4 linked regions of the Schizosaccharomyces pombe genome follow. Changing the gene in region 2 together with the main gene of any one other region gives a genetic interaction. Each region holds a gene or a part of one and is shown on either strand. Other genes may lie near its edges.

What was found.
Region 1: of cgs1 (region 2) and pyp1, a mutation in one rescues a mutant of the other (synthetic rescue), as found in Schizosaccharomyces pombe (one study listed by BioGRID).
Region 3: of cgs1 (region 2) and mei3, changing one enhances a phenotype caused by changing the other (phenotypic enhancement), as found in Schizosaccharomyces pombe (one study listed by BioGRID).
Region 4: of cgs1 (region 2) and sak1, changing one suppresses a phenotype caused by changing the other (phenotypic suppression), as found in Schizosaccharomyces pombe (one study listed by BioGRID).

What each region holds. Positions count from the first base shown.
Region 1 is NC_003424.3:5,158,814-5,164,229, reverse strand, and holds pyp1 (protein tyrosine phosphatase Pyp1), read right to left. Parts: upstream 2,719-5,416; coding exon 1,066-2,718; 3' UTR 870-1,065; downstream 1-869. Other genes in the region: GTPase-activating protein Gyp51, read left to right, coding at 1-489. UniProt on the Schizosaccharomyces pombe protein: Plays a role in inhibiting the onset of mitosis. Dephosphorylates sty1/spc1 and wis1/spc2/sty2.
Region 2 is NC_003424.3:3,641,130-3,647,240, reverse strand, and holds cgs1 (cAMP-dependent protein kinase regulatory subunit Cgs1), read right to left. Parts: upstream 4,213-6,111; 5' UTR 4,003-4,212; coding exon 3,873-4,002; exon of another isoform or gene 3,608-3,872; coding exon 2,499-3,607; 3' UTR 1,605-2,498; downstream 1-1,604. Other genes in the region: SPOM_SPAC8C9.04 (uncharacterized protein), read right to left, coding at 1-966; SPOM_SPAC1142.09 (uncharacterized protein), read right to left, coding at 4,396-4,743; DNA-binding forkhead transcription factor for ribosomal proteins Fhl1, read right to left, coding at 5,022-6,111.
Region 3 is NC_003423.3:717,426-722,071, reverse strand, and holds mei3 (protein Mei3), read right to left. Parts: upstream 2,354-4,646; 5' UTR 2,267-2,353; coding exon 1,820-2,266; 3' UTR 1,082-1,819; downstream 1-1,081. Other genes in the region: lsb1 (SH3 domain-containing protein), read left to right, coding at 1-619; cmt1 (catechol O-methyltransferase 1), read right to left, coding at 3,306-4,106. UniProt on the Schizosaccharomyces pombe protein: Acts as a critical meiotic inducer by binding non-covalently to protein kinase ran1/pat1 inhibiting its enzymatic activity. Inhibits ran1/pat1 by acting as a pseudosubstrate for ran1/pat1 instead of its natural substrate ste11.
Region 4 is NC_003424.3:3,145,925-3,151,485, forward strand, and holds sak1 (DNA-binding transcription factor Sak1), read right to left. Parts: upstream 3,796-5,561; 5' UTR 3,584-3,795; coding exon 1,283-3,583; 3' UTR 1,024-1,282; downstream 1-1,023. Other genes in the region: rRNA processing protein Fcf2, read left to right, coding at 1-635; tryptophan--tRNA (Trp) ligase Msw1, read left to right, coding at 5,402-5,561. UniProt on the Schizosaccharomyces pombe protein: Positively regulates cyclic AMP-dependent protein kinase-mediated exit from the mitotic cell cycle.

The sequences.
Region 1 (5,416 bases), 1.5 Mb from region 2:
CCGGATGTCTTGGATCGATACGGAAATGAATATGACATTTTACTTAAATCGGAGCATGAGCTAGACTCTTCTCTTGAAGAAATGCGTAATAGGCACAAATCTTTAAATGAGCATTTTATCATGTTGTCAGATTCAATGGCAAATTTGCAAGTTGAACATGAGAACATGTCCGCTCTACTACTGAAAGAAAAAATGTATCTAAAAAATCAAACTGTTGAACAAGCATCATTAAAATCCGAAATTGCATCCTTAAATAGTCAACTTGCTAAGCAAAAGTCAGAAATAGAGCAGGCATTTCAAGGAGATATGGAAGCAATCATTGCTGAGAATTTAGAAATTATGGTTGAAAGTCAGTCTCTCGAAGATGAAATCTTTAGAAAAGAAAAGCAGCTTGCTGAAACTAAAGTTAACTTGGCCGTTTTAGACGAGGACCATATGATGGCTTTACAAAAATGGAGTCAGCTTATGAACCGCATAAAGACAAAGTGAATATAAAAGCATTCTAGGTACTATTGGAATATCTGCATCCTAATGATTGCCATAATAATTTATTTATATTGAGTTACGTTTAATGTGTATTATAAAAAATCTTTGTTCCTGCAAGTTTGTCTTACTTAAAAACATACAAACGATAGTTCAAATGAATGTATATTTAATGAATCGTCTCACCTTTAATCAGTGAAGAAAGAATTCTATTGCTCTTGATCACGACCACTTCGCTTAAACTCTATATTTCTGCCTAAAGAAATCGAGTAATAAATTTTAAAAAGCATCTGAAAATAATACAAGGTTATTATCAGTTTGATGACTTTATCTTGTACAAAAAATAGGTTTACAAAGTTCTAAAAAGAAAATTTAAGAGAAAAAAAGATATCATTAAAAAGCCTAGTTCTCAAATATACTTTTTGAAATAAAAGACAACGTGATTAAAGCAACTGAATTTCACAAACATTGACAGTAAATTCAAATGCAAATGTAAAAAAAAAGACACTTTACAAGTACAAGAAATAAAGGAATCGATTAAAACACGAATATATATTGCCAAGAAAAATCCAGTCAAAAATTTCATGTTAAAACCGGGAAATGAACTTGAGATTTTTGCAAAGAATCGATCAAGTCATACACATATTTAAATTGTGTGAAGGTTTGAACCATCTTCATCCGCTGCTTTCGGATATGATCAACCAACTGGAAAACGACGTCTGAAGAATCGGCGACAGAAGGATTGAAACCAGAAAGTTTGCTTTCTGGGAAGCGTAGGATCGTATCTAGTACAATAAAGGTTCCTGTCCGACCAACACCGGCAGAGCAGTGCACAATAGTATTTCCTGATCCGTGAGAGTTGTTCACATATTTTAAGAACTCAACCATAGATTTCACGTTTTCAGGAGAATTACAATCAGACCAATTAGGATATTGATAGTGATGTACTTTTTTAACTGAAGGAAAATTGGCATTCTGAATTTCAAACTTTCGCAAAATGAATCGAGAATTATCGACATTTTCCTCCGAAATTTGTTTGACACAGTAATCTCCATACACTTGTTTATCTCCAATACCATTACTTGGCCAATATGCAGTACACATTTCGCGGCCAGCCTCGAACAATGAACCAAGCATAACAATAGTGCCTATATTCTCCACATTGTCCCATACCATGTGCCAGAAATCGCTAATAGAACGAGAAATAGAACCTTGGCAAGCGATGTAATTTGAAGTTTCAGTTTTGATAAAGGAAGCATTGATATAATCGAGCTCTGAAGGGCTAGTTCTTTTCAAATGCACACGAGTACAATTGTAAGGAACAATGTCGGTATATCTGTTTTTCTTATACGATGTATTACTCAATGAATCAACGGTACTCCACTGAGAATTACGATCCGAACAAGAAACTAGACGTTGATGCTCCAATGATTGCAGGCGCAAGAACTTCTGGTAGAGGGTCGCAACATCTGGATTGGTAAAAGCATCGGGCACACTGTGTAAGCAGGGTGTCTGGACTGTAGCACTGCCAAATGGAGAAGATTTGTTGTCCTTGTTCTCAGGTAGAGGACAGAAAAAGTTATTTAAAGACAAACCGGCAACATTAGGAGTGGGAGGAGGACGAGAGAAGTAATCGGAGCCTTCGCTGGACAAAGAGATAGGAGCAGTTTGAGCAGCAGAGTAAGACAATCTGGGGCGAGCGCTAGGCAAAGCACCTAATTTACTTTTTACAGGAGAGTTGTCAATCACAGATGGATACTTGCCCGAGACTTTCGAATAGTCTAAATCTAAAATACCGAAGTCACCAGAATAGGATTCTTTTCTAAATTTTTCACCAATTACCTCAGCGTTCGTTACGTAGTTAGCAATCCAAGCAGGAACACAAACAAGAATGGATGAAAACTCTTGCCAGTTTTGAAAATCTCTCTTGTCGTCGACGTCGTGAAGATTGCTGATGATACGCGCGACCGAAAAGGCAGGACGCTTAATTAAGGTTGCAGGTAAAGAAAGATTGACGGAGCCCTTAATTCTAGATTTGGAAAACTCGGATACGGGACGAAGGTCGATGATCAATGTGTCATCCTTCCAAGCTTCCTTGTCGAGATATTCTTGGAGGCAAGAAGCATGAACAGCATACTTACTCGTTGCTACACCCCGCTGAGGAGGTAAAGCAATACATGAACCCGAAGGAGCAATTGTAAAAGTAGACGATTTTGAACCGTTTGAAAAATTCATCGTGGTTTTTTAGATGAATGTTTTGTATTAAGAATATTTGGCCTTAAAAAAGAAGCAGAGATGATTAAAAAAAAAAGTAAAAAAGTAAAAAAAAATTCAGACTTCTTAAATAAAATACAAATATTGGATAGCACAAGTTTTGAAGGCCGAAAGCAAAATAATGAATGGATAGGAAATATCAAAATTACGGAAAATCCAGGGTTCTAAAAAGGAAAGAATTAACGCAAAATTTGGCAATAAAATTAGTAAAATATAGAAGGAAACAAGAGAAGATTCAAATCAAGTCTGAGATGAAAAAAGTTTTTCAATTCAAACTTTCTGCAGAAAATAAAGATGGAAGAGTTTTAGAGGGGATGAGGAGTATCCAATTCAAAGAATGGGTTTGAATCAGTACTATGCAAATATGAGAATAAAAAGGGGGAATCCTTAAAAATTAACGGATTAATGAATCGTCACTTCAAAGGTCAAGCGATTTTAAGAGGAAAATAAAAATACTGCTTGTGAGTGCACAGTGCAAGATTGCAAAAAGCAACACTATTTAAGAAATTATTTCGTATTTAGTAGAAAATGCAAAAAGGTAGGGCACACGCACGAAAACAGTAACCAGACTGAACAAAAATATAAGATAGAGGGTATAAGAAATATTATAAGTTGCAGTTTGTCAAAGTGCAGAAAAGTATACAAGTAGGAGATCGAGGAACGAAAAGAGGTAGAGGCTAATTGAAATGTAATGACAATGGAATAATTTTCCTACAAAACAGAAAACCCAATTTAAAAGTCAGAAGCGTATTCAAAGCTAAAGGGGGGAACCAAAAGCACGTTGATGCAACAAACTAGCAAAAACGTAAGGTCAACTAAGGATGAAAATTACAGAGCACACGTCTGTAAATAAACCAAATGAATGGTGAATACTTAGACAGATGAGTTCAGAAAAAAAGAAACAGAACTATTCAGAATGCAGAACCCCACAAAAAAAACAATAGACAAGTAACCACCAAGACCCCAAAGTGAAGTGAAAACAAACGGTAAAGCAATGAAGAAAATGGGAAAAAAATTCAAAACTTAATCCGAAAAACTCAAGGGAAAGGAATATATGAGCTCTTCAAAGGTTCAAAAAAAGCGATACTACACTGTGGAAAGAAACCCAAGAGTACACCTTTTTGAGAAAAGACAAAGAAAATGATGAAACGAGAAATAGGATAACTAGAAAAGGAGAATTCCGAAAATATGAAAATATCAACGAAAAGGAAACAAGAAAAAAAAAGAGGGAGGTATAAAAAAAATGTAAAAGGAGAAAAATCTAACCCAATTGAGAGAAAGAAGTGGTGAAACAAAAGTTGAGAAAAGTTGAAGAAATTAACTATTTTGCATCGTACGGGATAAAAAAATGAAGCAAATAGAAAAAGCACGGCGATTCAACGATATATCTGGTGCTCTTTTATGGAAGGAAAAAAGACTAGTTCTTCCTATTTATTCACTTTGAGTTAAAGTTTAGAAAAGAAAAGATGGGCGCAGGTAATGAAACAAACGACTTTTAAAAGCTACGTATAGCGGTGGAGAGACAACAGAGAGAACTGTTGACGAGATGAAGGATGGAGGAAAAAATCTAAGAAAGAGAATTAAACGCACTAAACGTCAACGAAATCAAGTCTAACGATTTTTGATTTTTACCAAACGATCAGAGCAAGGACTGAGCGACGAACCAAGGTAAAATTTTTCATACGATCCAACAAAACGACGATGAAAATAAGATCCAATCTTATACTTTACCCAACGTTTAAACAGGAAACCCAAAAGATAAAAAGGATTGGGAGCAAGTAAAGGGTTAAGAGGAGGAAGGGAGAGGACGAGCGAGCGATATGTAGAAAGAGAAGAAGAAGTAGAAATAGGTATATCTTGGAGCACCAAACAATGATATCACTTAATAGTCCCCCGGGTAAGAAAGAAAAAAAAAAAAGCCAACGACAAGTAACAGATCAAATAGATCAACCAGACAAAGTAACAATTGAGTACAAGTAGGCTATCAAATTAACCAACCCTCGGATCGAACAAGCAACCAATGAAAGGGAGCGCAACGAGATCCAGAAGGACGAATGGATGAAGAGAAACGAGTTTAAGCAGGAATAACGTGTGCGCTAAAAAAGCTTAGGCGCAATGGCGTTAAAGAGGAAAAACACAGGAACAATGGGGATAAAAGCTTAAGTGAGTTAACACAAAAATGCGACGCTGTGGCTATAACGCAGTGGAGTGAAGAGGAGCGCAGAGGAAGGGTGTGTGAGTACGTAAGTAAAGGGGTAGAGAAAGCGAGCCTTATATATATATATATATGTATGCGCAAATATAATAAATATAAACAAAATTATATTTATATATGTTTATACAAACTTCAAATCTGGATTTGTATAGAGAGAAAGTACGGGAAATGTAGACTGTGCAGCCACAACAAGTACTGGAGTGAAATAAAAAAGAAATTGGGAAAATAGGTGAATCGTTTCCGAAACTATAGAAAAAGGTGGGAACCAACTAAGTCAGTACAGTAGAAAGGAAAAACGGTAGCTAGAAGGATGAAACAAGAAAAGGTTGAAAAGTGGAATTGGGCTAGCCTTTTATGGAAAGAGGTTAGAGCGGAAAAAGGCAAGAAATAAAGGCAAAGGCAATTTTAAAGTTGAACCAAGATTTCCTTCTTTTCTTTTCTCTA
Region 2 (6,111 bases):
TGTGGTGGTATGGGGGATGACATCTGCATGTGGAATGTCGCTCGCATCCTCGAAAACCGTCTCTTGCTGAACGTTTTCACCAATGCTTTCAAGTACGTTATCATTCATAATTCCATCGGCCACTGCATGTGACTCAGCAGTGGCAGTAGTAGAGGCAGAGGCAACTGCTGCTGTTGTCGTAGCTGCTGCCTGATCATGCGTAGTATTTATTTCTTTCGATATCATAATAGCTTCAGGCTCAATGGGCTTCAATTCTGGAATTTCTTTCTCAGCGGTAGTAATGGGTTGTGAAGTAGCTTTCGCCATGTTTTCCTCTACTTTCGAAGAAGGTTGCGCAGCAGATGTCGTTGCTGGCTTAGACGTAATCGAAGCTGGGGAATTACCGAGTTGCTCGTCATTGCGCTGGGGTGCGAAATGTTCGGCTACGACGTAATCAGCGGATTGTGTGGTTGCAGTAGACTTTGTAGAAGCGGATGAGGAGGAGGAGGAAGGGGAATTGGCGGGTTCGGTAATACTTGTATTGCGTGCTTCCGTAGTTGGCACTGCTGTTGACGTGGAGGCAGAGGGTTTGTTGTCAGTAGGCGGCTCTACAGTACCCAGAGCTGAGGATGCTATGGGTTCCAAAGGCTCGTCAACCTGATCAGCGTCTTTCTCCACTATAGTTTGTGTAAATCCTGGCTCTTGTAATATGGTTTGTTCTTGTTGTTCCTCTTGCGCGTGCTGAGCTTCTTCCACAGGTGTGGAAGAGGCAGATGCTGCTGCTGACTGCTTCTTCTTTTTTGCAGCCTTCTTTTTGGCGCGTTTAGCGGCCTTCTTCTTGTTATCCTTGGTGACGGACGCCTGGGAAGAATTGTTATTCTGCTCGACCGCGTTGGTACTTTTCGAATCCAGCTTCTCCTGGACTCTCGACGTTACTTGGTGAATTTCATTTTTCGTCTGTTTAACAATATCGGGATTCGTGGTCATATTCAACTCAATTTTTGTTCTACTTTTACACGCTCTGCGTTCTTGTTTGGTGGTTGGTAGAAGTTGTAAATCTTGGCGTAACTAGAATTTATACGAAACCCTGTTATGTGAGTGAAAAAATGCATATGTAAACAAAGTTAATTCAGACGAAAGTAAGACACAAAACAAAACATTTCTTTACCAAAACATTGCTTCGCTGATCATCTTCTTAATATTACAATTTATCTCGAGTGCTTAACTTTATTCTGCAGTAATTGTCATTTCTACCCGTTGTGCTTGTTGTGAATAACCTACCCTACTAAGAACATTCACAGTAAATATGTAGTATGGAATATGGGGAAAAAAATTTTTCTTGTTTAAGAAAACCTTACGCATAGTTCGCAACTGTAGTCGTTTTTTTATTTATTATGTTCGCAAGAACATTGAATGTACGAAATTGAGTATTCTTTAAAATTTTTTGTATCCCATTTCGTACGGATTTGATAATTGAATAAAAGTCCTTTCGCTTTTTGCTGAATTTATTTGTCTAACAAGATATTCGTTTTATAAGTTTTTTACACAATTTGCATTCTCCTAGTTACACGTATCGTTTATCGCAGACTGTAGTTTCATCTAATTTGCACCCCTTTACTCAAAACTTGGTAAAAATTTTGTGTATTGTATTAAAAAACTATTCTCAATTCTTGATATTAGTCAATTTCTCATAAAATTTTTAAAGTTATGTCACGTAACTACAAAAACCGAGAACTCACTCAGTTTGCATACAAAACATCCACACTCTTGAATTTTTAACACTTCATCCCTTTCCCCACGTCTAGCGTCTGCCTAAAGCTTTCTAAGTATTTCATGCTTGCAAGTGTTTACGGACCACGGTAATTCTTGTATAATGTGCGTTACTCCAATGCCAAGTACATTATTGAATGCAGCTGCTGTTTTGAAGAGTGTGTGATTATTCAAAAAACAAATATAAGAACTCTCCATATAGATAGAAATATTTGACGATATCAAATATCGATTAAAAAACAAAAAAAAACAGGATGAAGAGAACGATAAAATAACTGTCATGATCCGTACGAAAAAAAAAACACAAACTAAACGGTAAGCTTCCAAACATCAAATGCTGCGATATTCGACAGATAAAAATAATAAAAAAAAAAGGAAATTTCAAAAAGAAAAAAAAAAACAAAATAAGAACAGTGAAGTGGTAATCACGAATATAATTGGAATTAAAACATTAACAAACCATATCCAGTGCCATGCTAGAACAAGACATAAAGGTTTTCAAAGAAATAAAAAAGAATAATACGTATATATACATTATCACATATAATGCTGAATTAGATAAGTAATCCAAACAAAACATGTTCAACATGAATAAGTAAATTATTCCAGGGATAATGGTAAACAATCACATGCATGCATGACCAATATGAAAAAGTTAGAAGGCAAACAAACAACAGGGAAATTCTTTAGCATATCATGACAGGTCATTATTACAAAGATAGTTTCAAAGAAAACAGATTATAGAAATTTTATGCTTTAGTTGATGGAGGTGACCTATGAAGAGATTGGTCACCATACTCATTATCCATTCCCATCCTGGCACGAGGTTGATTACGCATCAAATCGATCGCGTTACCAAGTAGTCTATTAAATGTAGGTTTATCAAATGTAGCAAGTTTCAGGCGAGTTTTTGCCTGTACCGTCGCATTTCTCACTGTTTCGTGAATTAAAGCTAGTTCACCAAAGTAATCTCCCTTGGTTAGGGTAACGACTACGCCTTTGCCATTCTTCACTACTTCAGCCTCGCCATCCTCTATCAGATAAAACTGGTTACCAATGTCGCCTTGTCGAATAACGATGCTACCGGCTTGATACACGACTGTCTGAAGAGCATCGGCAATTTTTTGTCGTTGATATTTGTCAAGGCTTGAGAGAATGGGAACTTCTTCAAGGAGGCTTTCATACAGCATCCTCTGGCGATATGCGTTTTCAAATACGATACGACGGAAACTTGTACGATCTAATGCGTAAATTACATTATTTGGTGTTTTGGAGACCACCGATGCAGCTCGTGGAGCATTATACATGAGTGCCAACTCTCCAAAATATTCACCGGGAGAAATCGTAGTTATGTAGTTACCATAACCACTCGAAAGCACTTCTTCAGGGGTAATATTTAGTTCGGGCCTTTTGTATACATCGAATTCACCTTGCTCCACAATATAAAAGTAATCTCCAACTGCTCCTTGGACAATGACAGCAACACCAGCCTCTCCAATCCGTTTTTCAGTCATAGCGTTCAGAACCTCGTTGTAATGTTCTTCATCCAAATTCTTAAACAAAAAGTTCCCAGCAACTGAGCGCTTTAGTCTTTTCAAATCTTCAGGATCCTTCGGAGGAAAGGTTCGTTTGGTCTCTAGTGCAAATGCACTAGGATTCATCGACTCAGTGGAAACAGATTGGCGACGCAACAGATTGTAGTTTTGCGGATATGAAACGTTCATTTCTTTTAATCCTCCCAATTCAGGAACGTATTTGGCATCCGGACCAATTGCCTCGGGGCCAGCAACCATATCGTTGAGCTCAGACAGGAAATCGCTTTCATCTCCGTCGCTAAAAGACTCTGTAATGGTGTCGCCTAAAAGAGAAATTTGTTAACATGATAAAACAAAAAAGGGTAAAATTTGTGTAGTATAGAGTGGGAGATTAAATGGGTACAGGGTCCTTAAACAACTTTGTGGAATTATTAACAGCCAGGAATCATAATTGCTGTTTGCTGACTAAATTTAGAAAATACTTACTATAGAGCAAAACAAAGTAAAAAACCACAAAAAAGAACCCATATTGACCATCATTTACTTTTCCTCTCCACTAAACATAGCTATCCAGAAGCATCTACTTACCTCGACGAAATACTGAGCGCTCAGCTTTCAGCTTTTCTCCAAAAAAGTCATAGCAAAATTGAAGTACATCTGAAGGATTTTGCTCATCAACAAGGGCTTTTAGCTCCTCATATACTTCTTCGAAAGACATGTCTCCTAAAGTTTACGTGCCTTTCTTTCAAAAAATGCGGTTTTTTGTTTCTTACTCTCAGTGAATCACAATCTCGCGGTTTTTGTTCGCTTCAGCTTTTCCTGACACTTTAATCAACCACAAGAGGTAAATTTTCCAAAATAAAAGAGCTGAATTCAGCTATACAAATCAGTTATTTACCTTCGTTTGTTACGGTTGAGATGTATGTTTAAAGTCTACCTGAGGCGTTGGACTAAAATGGATGGATGCCTGCATTAGCTCACTCATACGTCATAAAATGTACTACGCAATGCCCTGACTCCATAATATGGGGTTTATCGAAGCGCATAAAAAAATAGAGAGTAGAATGTTTGACGATGCAACATAGCTTGCGTTTTCCAGTGTTTCGGTATATTATTTTGTGAAGCTTCTTGTACATCCGTGAGTTAAGTTAGTTAAGAAATGAATAGTGAGCGGTCTATGGAAAAGTGATATGATAAATATACATCTATAGTAAGAAATTAGAATCGCTGAATATGAGTTGTTTGTTTTCAAAACAAATTCAATGTAACTTTTGAAGTCTATCAGATCAGAGAGCTTGCCCGACAGGATTACAACAATAATAGTTTTGGTCTTATTAAAAGTGCTATAAAAACAATCATTGAAGTAAATATGCTTTCTGTATTGGCTAAACAAAGGTTTCAATGAAAACGTAAATAAGGAATCGCTAATGTTCACAGATAACAAAAGCGAATCCTCCATACCCTTCCTGCTTTGCTATTAACTTTTTCGACAAGAAAACGAAAATGCTTATTAAATGAAATAAAACCAGACGGCAATTTATTATGTAAAGTATTAACTAAGGTAAACATTAAACACATGAGAAATAAAAGTAGAAACCACCCAAAGACCAAGTTGTGCAATCACTGTCAAAAAAAGAAAAATGAAACAGCTTATGCATGCTGGTAAGTGTAATTTTCGGCACTAATGTATTAATTAAGAAGTCATCAACAACGTTACGTGCATGAGCATTAGTAAATTCAGGTATAAGAGGATGATGTCTCGTCCAACGGTCGCTTTACTCCTCGTAAAGCGTCGCTTGAGTTTGATGGTAAATTCATGCCCCTTACTGAAGATGAGTCGTCAACATTGTTTCCGTTCTTTGCATTAGTATCAAAAGATCCATTTTCGTTTTCCATTATATCTCTTTTACTAAAGCTTGATGCATTTCCAATGGAATTCATCCTTTGTCCTTGATTGCCTGTTTCAACTCTCTCTAAAGTATCATTAGGCGAAGAGTATAAAGGCCGATCAGAAGTGAATGGTTTGTTTATTGGTATGGTGTGTAGATTTTGATGGCTTGTTATCTCTGATTTGCTTTCAGAAGCAGTGGAGTTGTACGACGATGATCGAACTGACGATGGCCCCGCGGACACATTAGCCATTGCTCCTGGGGGTAACGGGTCTCCAATACTCTGGCGTGTATCTGGTAACTTCGAAGGAGCAGATGGCCTAACATATGGAGGTGGTCCAACGTTTACTGCAGGACGTTGAGTGACTGAGATACTAGGAGACGGTGATGTTATGTTAGGGTGCGGCATTGCAGTCGGCGCCGGATTAAGTTGCTGTGAAGTATAAGCTTTACGACGCTTTGCCTGTTGTTGCACTTGTTGGGGCCCTTGCATTTGCGTTTGCTGCTTTTGAAGTTTTTGGGCTAAAGCCACAGCGAGAGCATTCGCAATCGCTGTGGCTTGCTCCGGGTTGTTGGCAGCGGCAGGTCCTAGCTGCTTATTAATGTGCTGTTGGAGTAGTGAAATTGCTTGAACGGCTTGCTCGTTGGGAGCCTGTTGCTCTCCATTTGCATTCTTGAAAAACTCGGGGTTCAAAGCAAGTTTCCCATCGCGCATAATGATAGGTTGAATGCCATTTTGAAGTAAGGATTGTGGTCGATCCTCTACATTTTCTCCTCGGGAAGTATGAGTTTTACTACGACTAGTTTCTTTTTGCGGATTAAGCTGTTCGGTTTTTCCAGCTGATATACCCTTTGTCTGGATAGCGGCTAATTCATTCTCCCTAGCAGTATCAGGATGAGCAGCTGGTGTAGCAGAAGGGGTGGGCTTTTTTGTTCTT
Region 3 (4,646 bases), on a different chromosome or scaffold from region 2:
CTCTGGAGAAAAGAGGACACCCGAGGAACCTCGTAAGCTGCCTGGAGTGCCTGCCCCACAGAAGCAAAGCGAGGCTTCAAGTGTCAATTCATCTACCGAGAAGCTTCCCCCTCCTCCCAGCTATCCTGGACCCAATACTGCCCATAAGAACGTTGAGCGGGTTTTGGCGATGTACGACTTTCCTGGCCCTGATGCTGGTGATTTAGGTTTCCATGCTGGCGAAGTTATCATTGTACTTGAGCATGTCAATAACGATTGGTGGCGTGGTGAATTGAATGGAAAGGAAGGAATCTTCCCTTCTAACTATGTGCGTTTGTTGGAAGATTCTGCCGTTAAAGCTCAACCTCCTCCTCCTCCACCACAGCAAAACTATCCCCCAGCAGCATCTTCTTCGGCACCTCCCATGCAGTATCAGCAAACAGCATATCCACCTCAGCAAGCACCATATCCACCTGTCCAAGCCTATCCTCAGGCGCCTCAACAACCCATCGTGGTTGCACAACCGACCGAGCACAAGCACTCATCAACATTCAAGAAGATTGGTAGTGGTTTGGGTTCTGCATTTGTATTCGGTGCTGGTGCAACTGCTGGCGCTGATCTCGTCAATTCCATTTTTTAAATGCGAGTTCGTTTCTTTCCTTTTTCTATGCTTTTTTTCTTCCTTTATATAAGTAAAACTTTCTGTGTGGTTGAACTAGCACCTGTGTTTGTTATCGTTGGTGCGCAGTTGTTTTTTATTTTGAAATTTCCAAGTAGAAATTTCCGTATATCGCGAATGCATTTCCCTTGTTCATGTTTACTCCTTTGGTCTTTTGTCTTTTTCTCGACTATGCTTTATGCTTATAAAGCAACACCGCGGCATAGCTGCTTCTTCATAGATTGAGACACCTCATTTATGTGTATGAATTCGATATCCAAACATTGTTGCATATTCTTTATGATTATCGATGCGTACTATTAAATACGCATGTCTCTTGACTTTTGTTTATTTTTAGTGTTTTTCTTTTTACGACTTTCATACCGTTTATATTTTAATTCCATAATAAAAAAAATAAATTACAAAGCAAAAATATGATTAATAGGGAACGAATGACAGTGTATTAGATTTGTTAATATGCTATGGTAAATTGTTCTATTGCTTAACGTATATTAAAGCAAAAAATAGTAAACGGATGAGGAAGTATAAATTAGGTAGCCTTTGTTAGAGATTTAATTACGATGTCCGGTCAGAATCGTTTCCATTAAGCAATAAAAAAGAATCGACGTGGAAATCCCATGAATGTAAAGACTCACATTATTAAAATGGGAAGATAAAGTAAAAACTGGAGACAGCGAATGTCCAACAAAAATGGAAGATGTATGAATAATGATGAATCAAATTCGGTAACACGTTGATGGGGATTCCAAGAGAAAGTAGCAGAATTTCAAAAAAAAAAGAGAACGACAATAAAAATGAACCTTTGTTTAAAAATAAAAGAAGTCAACACACAATAAAGAATAATGAGACTATGAACAGAAATGAAACTCAAGGGAGAATTGTTATAAAAAGCGTCTGAAAGCACTGGGGAATGAATGAAAGGACTAAATTTGTTTTAATTTTTTTTCTTTTTTGTTGTAAAAATGGAAAACATGAAAATAAGTATGCAAGTTCAAATATAATAGCTGTATAGTTAGGATGAAAATTTCCTATAACAGCGGTTTAATTAATAAAAATTAATGCTCGAAAGAGAATTTCTTTCAATTTTTATGTGGTGTTCATATTCCCCTTCGGCATTAGTCATTCAGGATCGAAGAAAATTAAGCTAATTTAAGCAGTTGCTTAGCGAGAGGTGTTGTTTACACGGTCGGTGATGTCAAAAGTCTCGTTAGGTCGAGGAACATGAAATAGGTCCAGGATGGTTAGTTCGTTAGTGAGGTCTGAGGGAGAAAGAACTCTTTGGACAGGCTTAATCCTATAAACCTTTTCAGTCTGAATATTTTCTTTATTTTCATGTTCAATGCGTTGTGCAGGGGTTCGGCGAACACGTTTAGTGCGTTTCATGGGAACGCTATGTACCGATCCAGCTTTGGTAGAACGGCCGCGTTTGCTTGTAGAGCTGATGAAAGTGGTACCGGCATGGTCAACAGTTTTGGTGTTAGTGTTAGTACTGGAGCTTCCAGTACTAGTTCTGGGAGAAGTTGAGCGTCTTGCCGTATTGGTGCGATTTGGTAAAGCAGAAGCGCTGCTTGCTGGGTGACGGCTGTTGGAGGTGTTTTGAGAGCTCATTGTTAGAAGTAGAAAGTGATTGTAAAAGTAGAATATAGTTTGATGTGAATTAGATAATAGAAAGAATAAGAGGATAAGAAAATGGATGCAGAAATGAGCGACTAAGCACTCATACTTATACTAACGCAGCACATTTCTTTCAAACCCATGGCTCACGGAGGTTTTTCAATTTCGTGTAAAGTATTTGATATTTGCAAATGAAACAAAAAAAACTATTAAACAAATAAAAGATTATTTTTTTGTATACAATCACAGTACAGAAAGTGAAAATGCAAAATTTAGAAAATGATAGTAAAGACCAAATGAGAAGTAAGAAACAAGTATATTTTATGTTTTCAAATGAACTACTACTATTATATTTTCTACTCTTCATTTCCAGCTTTTAATGCTTGCGAAGTGGCATGCTACGCGGCGCGACACGCTTTTCATTTAGAGAGCAGCGTAAACAAATCAAACTCGTGTTAAGTTTCGATATCATTCGTTAGATTTCCTTAAAAAATAACTCAGGCTAAACAACATTGAATTGAATAACGCAAAAAACAGTATTACAGTAATGTGTTTTTAGAGATTGCTACATTCCACAATGCAAGCTTACCACTTTGCTTTCGTGCTCGCTCAATCATTGCATGAAAGGTAGATATATCCAGCTAGGTGTTCTTCGTATTTGCGAGTAGAGTAATTAGCAGTGCACATTTATAGTATGCAAGTTAACGATTTCTTTAGTACTTCTCTATTGACGATCATGCGTTCATCTAACAGAATGGGCACATTCCAAATGTAATAGTGAACAGGAAACTTAAATTACTATACTATACTTGACATTTTACACATCGTTTTTAGAATCAAGCAACGGGATTAAAAGAGAAATCAATTCATTGTCAACTATAATTTATAACATTAGCAAACAATATCTGGACGAGCAAAGAATGGGATCCCAGACACGATTGTATGCTGTATAAACTGGGCTTCAAAAGATCGTAAAAGGTATCAGATACCACATAAAGTCAATTATAAAAAGATTAGGGAATGCCTTTGGTACCTAATCTTTTTTAGCATAGCCAACACACTCCGTAACGTCGACAGCGTCTTTGCGGTGTTTATTGCGAATGACACCCTCAAATTCTTTAGTTTCAGTCTTATATATCAAATCCCATCTGCCGATGAAATCGAATCCATTGACATTGCGAACCTTGGCTTGATATCCTCTACGTTCTTCAGGACTCATATTAACATATTTATGATATTCAGGAGCACCAGGTGTTATAATATTATCGGCCACTAGAAGGGTTCCCGGAGCAATCATATTAAGTGATTCAATAACCCTCAAGTCAGGCACATAAAGGTCCTTCCAGTGGTCGATAAATACCATGTCCAAAGCTTGAAAACCAAGGTCTTTATGCAATAATTTCTGTTGCAGTTCGACCAAACTGTCGCAAGCCTTGCCAATCATGATGGTGACTATTTCATCCAGACCGGCCAACTTAACCAACTCGTAAGCAATCTTGGCATAATCCTCATTCACTTCCAAGCTGTAATAACGACCACCAGGAATTTTGGAGATTTCATTTCCAAACAAAATAGCTGAGTAGCCCAAATAGCCGCCTAACTCAACCATGATTTTCGGCTTCCGTTCACGAATTTTCCCAACGATAAATCCACCTTTAACATCTCCTATACACATTCTCACTCCAGATCCGTCTGGATACGTGAATTCATCGATTTCCTTAAGAACCAACTCAGGATGCCCGCGAATCGCATCCAAGCGCTCTTGAGGCAGATTTTGAATGTGTTGCAGAAACAGCTGTTCCTTTTCACTACCGTTGTCTTCCATATGAGGCATGATTTCAAATTTCGAAAGGTTGGTTAAAAGTTGATTTTCAGCTCTGCATACGCAATACCATGCACTTTATATAGTTACGAGGGATGGAATGTTGCTGAATTCGATGCACCTCGTATGTTGTCACTACGCCACGCATCTTTACAAACTACCCACCGTATCATAGGACATCTAGCACATCTAGAGACCGAGGCTCGGTGAGTCAAGACCCTTATGTTACAGCAGTACCTTTATACTTTGCGCCATATGGAAACTTTGGACTTTGAGGCAACAGAATAGCAGACTACACTGCGTTGCACTGAAGGAATTGTGAAATATATTGAAACAAAACAGTGTTTCTGTAAACATAGATCCGCAAGTATATGATTTTACACTATTTGATTTTGGGTGAAACATCAACGCAATTACAACGTATCGTTATAGTTTAATAACAGACTGTATTGAATAATCGATATTGTTCGTTATGTGATAAACATTTCGAGTGCAAATGTACCGGATCTAGAAACATCAGATTCATCTGTATGTACTGCATAAATTTATTTA
Region 4 (5,561 bases), 490 kb from region 2:
CAAAATCCACATTACAAGAAAAGCAAGCGTCTGACGATGATAAGCATGGCCAACAAAAGTTGCTCACCAAAATTCCCAAAATAATCAGCTCTTCTTTTGAATTGCCTTCATATTTTGAAAAGAAATTCGTTATGGGATTGAAAAAAGATGAATTAGTGGAGAATAGCGAGTCATATATTAATGATGCGTCGTTCGAGCCAACAGTACCTATTTATGAAAGTCATGTTTCAGCCCCTGGTATATCAAAGAAGAAGAAAAATATTAAAGACACTGCTGGATCGAATTGGTTTGACATGCCTGCCACCGAGCTCACAGAATCGGTGAAACGCGACATTCAGCTATTGAAGATGAGAAATGCACTAGATCCGAAACGGCATTACCGAAGGGAAAACACGAAATCTATGCCCAAATACTTTCAGGTGGGTTCCATCGTTGAAGGTCCTCAGGACTTTTACTCTAGTCGTATCCCCACTCGAGAGCGCAAAGAGACAATTGTTGACGAATTATTGCACGATTCAGAAAGACGATCGTACTTCAAGAAAAAATATCTAGAATTACAAAAATCGAAAATGAGTGGACGGAAGGGGCAATATAAAAAACTTCAGCAGCGCCGAAAACCTTCTTACTTGAAATAGTGGTTGATGTTTCCATTTTCCGTTGTTTAAGTTATTTTGTCGTTTTTTTAATTTAATATATGGTCTTTAAGGGGAATATTTAAACATTTTATTTGAAGTCTTGTTTTTTAAACACGAAGTTTCTCGTAGAAAGTTCGCTTTTAGTATGATGCTGTTTTTTTGGGGGTTCGCTATTCTTGTTGAATGATATCGATGCCAATTTCCTCATTTGTATGGGCTTAATATTCTTGTTACTGCCAGAGAAATGCAATAATTACACTCAATAGTTTAAATAGGTTTTATAAAATAGTTATCGGAGAACATTTATATTAATCAATACATATGTGATAGTCGATATCAAAATTAAAGACAAAAATGTTGAAACTCTATTTACTGACAGTGAAATTTTAAAAGAAATAAAAAACAAATATAAAGTATAGTCACTTTCAATTTGGTATATGTATGGACGTTCACCCATAAGAAACAAGCGCCAGGATTATAGTAATCTAATTGCATTTCAAAAGTTCACAGACTTAAACAAATAGACCTCCTGAACAAAAGAAACATATATTAAAAAACAAAAACAATAATATGAATGATATTAACTTTTGTCAGTGTAATTACGCTTGCTTTTTCGAAGCCCTAAAAAGGGTCAACTATATTGTACATCAACTACAAGCACCATTTGTATCAAATACAATGGATATATAGTCGTCTTCCTTTTGCTTCTGAGCATTCTGGTAGGCAGCTTCCATCAAGGAATTTTTAGTGGCTTGTTGTTGTTGTTGTGATTGCAAAGCTTCGATGTCTTGTTGGAAGTGTTGCTGGGATTGACGGTGCTCCTGTAAATGAGGAGGGATATTACTCTGAGATATTCCAGCTTTATTATGAAAGTTAGCATGATGCTGTTCCAGCTCATCATAACTATCATCGAGGTATCCGCCAATCTCTGCCACCCAAGTCATGTATTCATCGACCCAACATCTAATTACCCAAAGAGCCCCAAATGCTTCACCTCCACTGACCGTGATTTCACGAAGCACACTAGTTTGTAAAGCGCCTAGGCATAGAAGAAACATTCTAGGAGAGCAGGAGGGAAATCTGGAAGGCAACTCCAGAAAAAAATCTGCCATACGATCTAAAACACCATCAATTTGTCGAAGTTCGACCCTGTTCATTGATGTATCACTGGCTTCATGTTTGTCCTTCAAAGGGTCTAAAAGCTCAGAAGGATTTGAACAGGTTGAAAGGATAGAATACCACTCATCCAACGCGGCTACTGCTTCTTTGTCATTGCACATTAATTCTCTATGTACAATAAATCTTGTACTGACAAATCGTTCCCAGTCGTTACAAATTAAATGCCTGTCGGCAGGGTTGGCAAGGAACCTAGCAGCAGCATGAGCCGTATCGTTGACACGCAAAAGACGAGACAATAAGTTACTAAAGATTGCGGCAGTCTCAGATTTGACTTGGAGAAGACAAGATGAATGAGAAGCGTATATGCTGGATATGTGATTAACGAGATTCTCAGCTAAATGACGCAGTAGCACCAAGACTGGCGGAGGTACCACTTGAAGAGTCATAGGGAATAGCAACTTCAGTATTTCCCTGTACATAACGGTATCAGAACGCTCAATCCATTTCGTGAAATAAGGAGAGGACAGCAAAGCTAAAAGAGAAGGAGAGAGGGAATTGGGAAAGTTAGAGATCTCGGACAGAAATTGCTTGAGATGCATATACCGGACTGATTCAATTAGAGTAATGCAATGCGAAGAATAAATGTTCATTAATGCAGATTTCGCCTCGACATTATCGTATGGACCATTTAAATAATAGTCAATAGGAGGTAAGGAAAATGAAGACACGTCTAATGATGGGATCCAAGGAAGCTTATGAGGAGGCAAGAATTTAAGTTTAAGTTTGAAGAATAGGGAATGTTGAAGATTAAAATCTTCTTGTGCAGAAGCAGGATGCAAGGTAGGTACTATCGAAGAAGTACCGGGTACAAACGAAGAAGAAAACTGAGGCATGGGTTGAGAAAAATAGGTCGGTTGGGACACAGAACGGGGTGGTGCAGGTGAAGGTACCGAAGAATGAGAAAGTTGTGGCGGAACATTGGATTGTGAAAGATGTGAAGGTAGGGGATGGGCTTGTGGAGCAGCAAAAGAAGGAGCCAATTGCAAATTGGTTTGACTTCCTAGCAAAGGTATAGAAGGAGGAGGCGAATTGTAAGGATCTGATGAAGGGGTGACAGCGGATTTTCTAACTATAGCCGCAGCATTAACCGATGCAGGGCTGCTTTCTACACGCTGATTTGTGTTTTGAATAGAAGAAACATCGTTTTCAAAATGATTGGGAATAGGTTTGGGAAACGAAGAACAGGAAACGGGGGAAAGACTTGAATCTGAAAAGGTACGTAGTCTGCGAAAAGAGTCTTGACCACGCAGTTTAATACCACAATAATGGTATTTTGAGTGGCCACGCATGCCTAAACGTCGGGTTTTGATGGAAGGAAAGAGCAAACGAACCAGTTTTCCAAACGAAGCGGAATTTAGAGGTTTGATATGCAAAGAGTTACAGATTTCGACGTAATGAGCGTATATTTGATTTCGTTGGACAGCAGCATCTTGTTGTTCTTCACAAGCACGCTTTAACCAACATATGCCAAAAACCTGGCGAAATTTTTCCGAATTGGCACTTACGTGGTCCATTCGCAGCTTTTCCGCTAGCGACTCTAAAGAGTAATGTTCATGTTCCAACGCAAGTCTTTTTAGTTCTGTCTCTTGCTCTAAATCACTTCCTCGTGGATGTGCAGATTCGGAGGTTATGGAGGGGCGATTCAAAAAATTCTCCTCCTGGGGAAGCATAAAATGAGTATCAAAGCGTTGAACCGGGTCCAATTGATCTTGGACATTCATATCTGATCTAGACAGAGGTATTTGACCTGGTAAATCAGATGGATTCATAATCCTGTGCCTGACAGAACGTTTATCGGAAGTGCAAAAATTTACCACAAAAAATTATCTACTTGCCAACATCCAACCGGTACTATACAAACCTTTTTTAAGATACCAAAAATTAAAAAGCACCCTCTATACGTCGTAACTATTAAATCCTCAGAAAATATTTGAGGGGCAAATTGACCAGCCTTGGCTAGTCGGAAATGCTCAAGTGTGGTGAAGACAAGAAGATGCTTATGGGCAAAGAAAGCGCCAACTCCTCGAGGTCGTAAAAAAAATGTTTCCACCGTCGATCACTATCGCTTGTTAAGCGCAAGGATTTTAAACTTCGGTGTTTAAAAGACAAGGATAATCACGGCACTGCAGTGGGGCGCTTGATTACATTCTTAATTCTTCGCTAGCTTAATTTTACATCAAATTGCTTTTCTTTCCACCTCCTTCGGGCTTGTTAATTGTTATTTACGATATCAATCCATGATCCTATTCGTCGTTGCGAAGTCTTGAACCATTGAAACGTTAAATGAAATAGTGAATTTCATTGCACCTAAACCAAAGCAGTCGCTTGCATGCTTACACACACCAATCATAAGGAGGTGAAGAATGAATGCAAATAGCCGAAGTAAAGTCCATACAAGCTTCTTCTGTTTAATTTCTTTTTTCTTTTTTCTGCGGATTTAAAAGACTTTTATCTTTTCAAAAGAATCTTCATTTTCACGATAGCGTTTTTAAAACGACGAACTAACAATGACTTGTTTTTCTACCAAAATAGTAGCGGGTATTGCGGAAAACCCGTATTTTCGAGCTTTTTGAAAATCATTGTCTACTGCTAAAACATCACTAACACAAGTAGAATATTGCTGAAATCATGACTATTTAGTCAAAAAATTTCCTTTTTCTTCTTAGGAGTGGTAGAGGGAGGAAAGTAAAAATCAACGAGAAACTTTGCAGCGCTTATTTACCGCAAAGTGGGGATGGCGAGTCAATATGGAATAAATTAATGGAAAAAAAAAGAATGGCATGACCTGCGCATTCTTGTATGTTTTTTTAGTCGATCTATCGTACACAAAAAGCATCCAAAATTTTTTTACATTAAATTTCTACACCAACTTAAATATCATTTACAAAGTTTTTATACTTTAAAAAACATGTTTGTTTATACAAATTTACTTGCTCTCTTCAAGTTTTACGAACTTCTGGACACTTGTAACAAATTCGTTAAAAAATAAAAAAAAAATAACCTCACGCTTAAACGAGCTATTTTCGGTAGATTTTTAACGGCTTAAAGTTCATTCAATGACTCGCTCCATGTAAACTATCCTTCTTTTATGAAGAATTCAAATACCCACCATTGTAGGATTTTCTCCATACTTTCTAACAATATCACTTTCCGCCTTTAATCTTTTTTTTCCTCCCATAGTTTGGGTTTCTTATCCCATTTTTTGTTATAGGCATCTTCTCAGTTTCTGAGGTATTGCAACGCTTTAATTGTATGGTTATGAACTTTAGCTACTTGATTTTACCAAAAAAATAATCCCGTTTTGATACCATTTATCAACTATCTTTGGTAGAGAAGAAAAGTTTCTATCCTGTTGTCTTATCTGCGTGTCATTGAACATTCCTCCTATATTTTGCTTGTTTTCATTCTGACCTAGTCATAAGTGTAGCATTCGTTTCTACGGCCTTGTTCCTTTTTGAAAAAATTGTCTGCGAGCTGTAATCAGTTGGATTATAACACAGCTGTTTTTTTTTATTTTCATTACATTTATTCTTTATCTTTATTTATTTGTTCACTTTATAAACCAATTAAATAAAAAGTAATAAAGAATGGCTAAACTTCCAAAAATCACTTCTCTCCTTCCACATAGCAGAGTTGTTTCAGGTATTCAGCCTACTGGAATTCCTCACATTGGCAATTATTTGGGATCTCTAAAGCAATGGGTTCAACTACAAGAGGAAGCCGCTCGTACCCCATTCTCCAAATGCT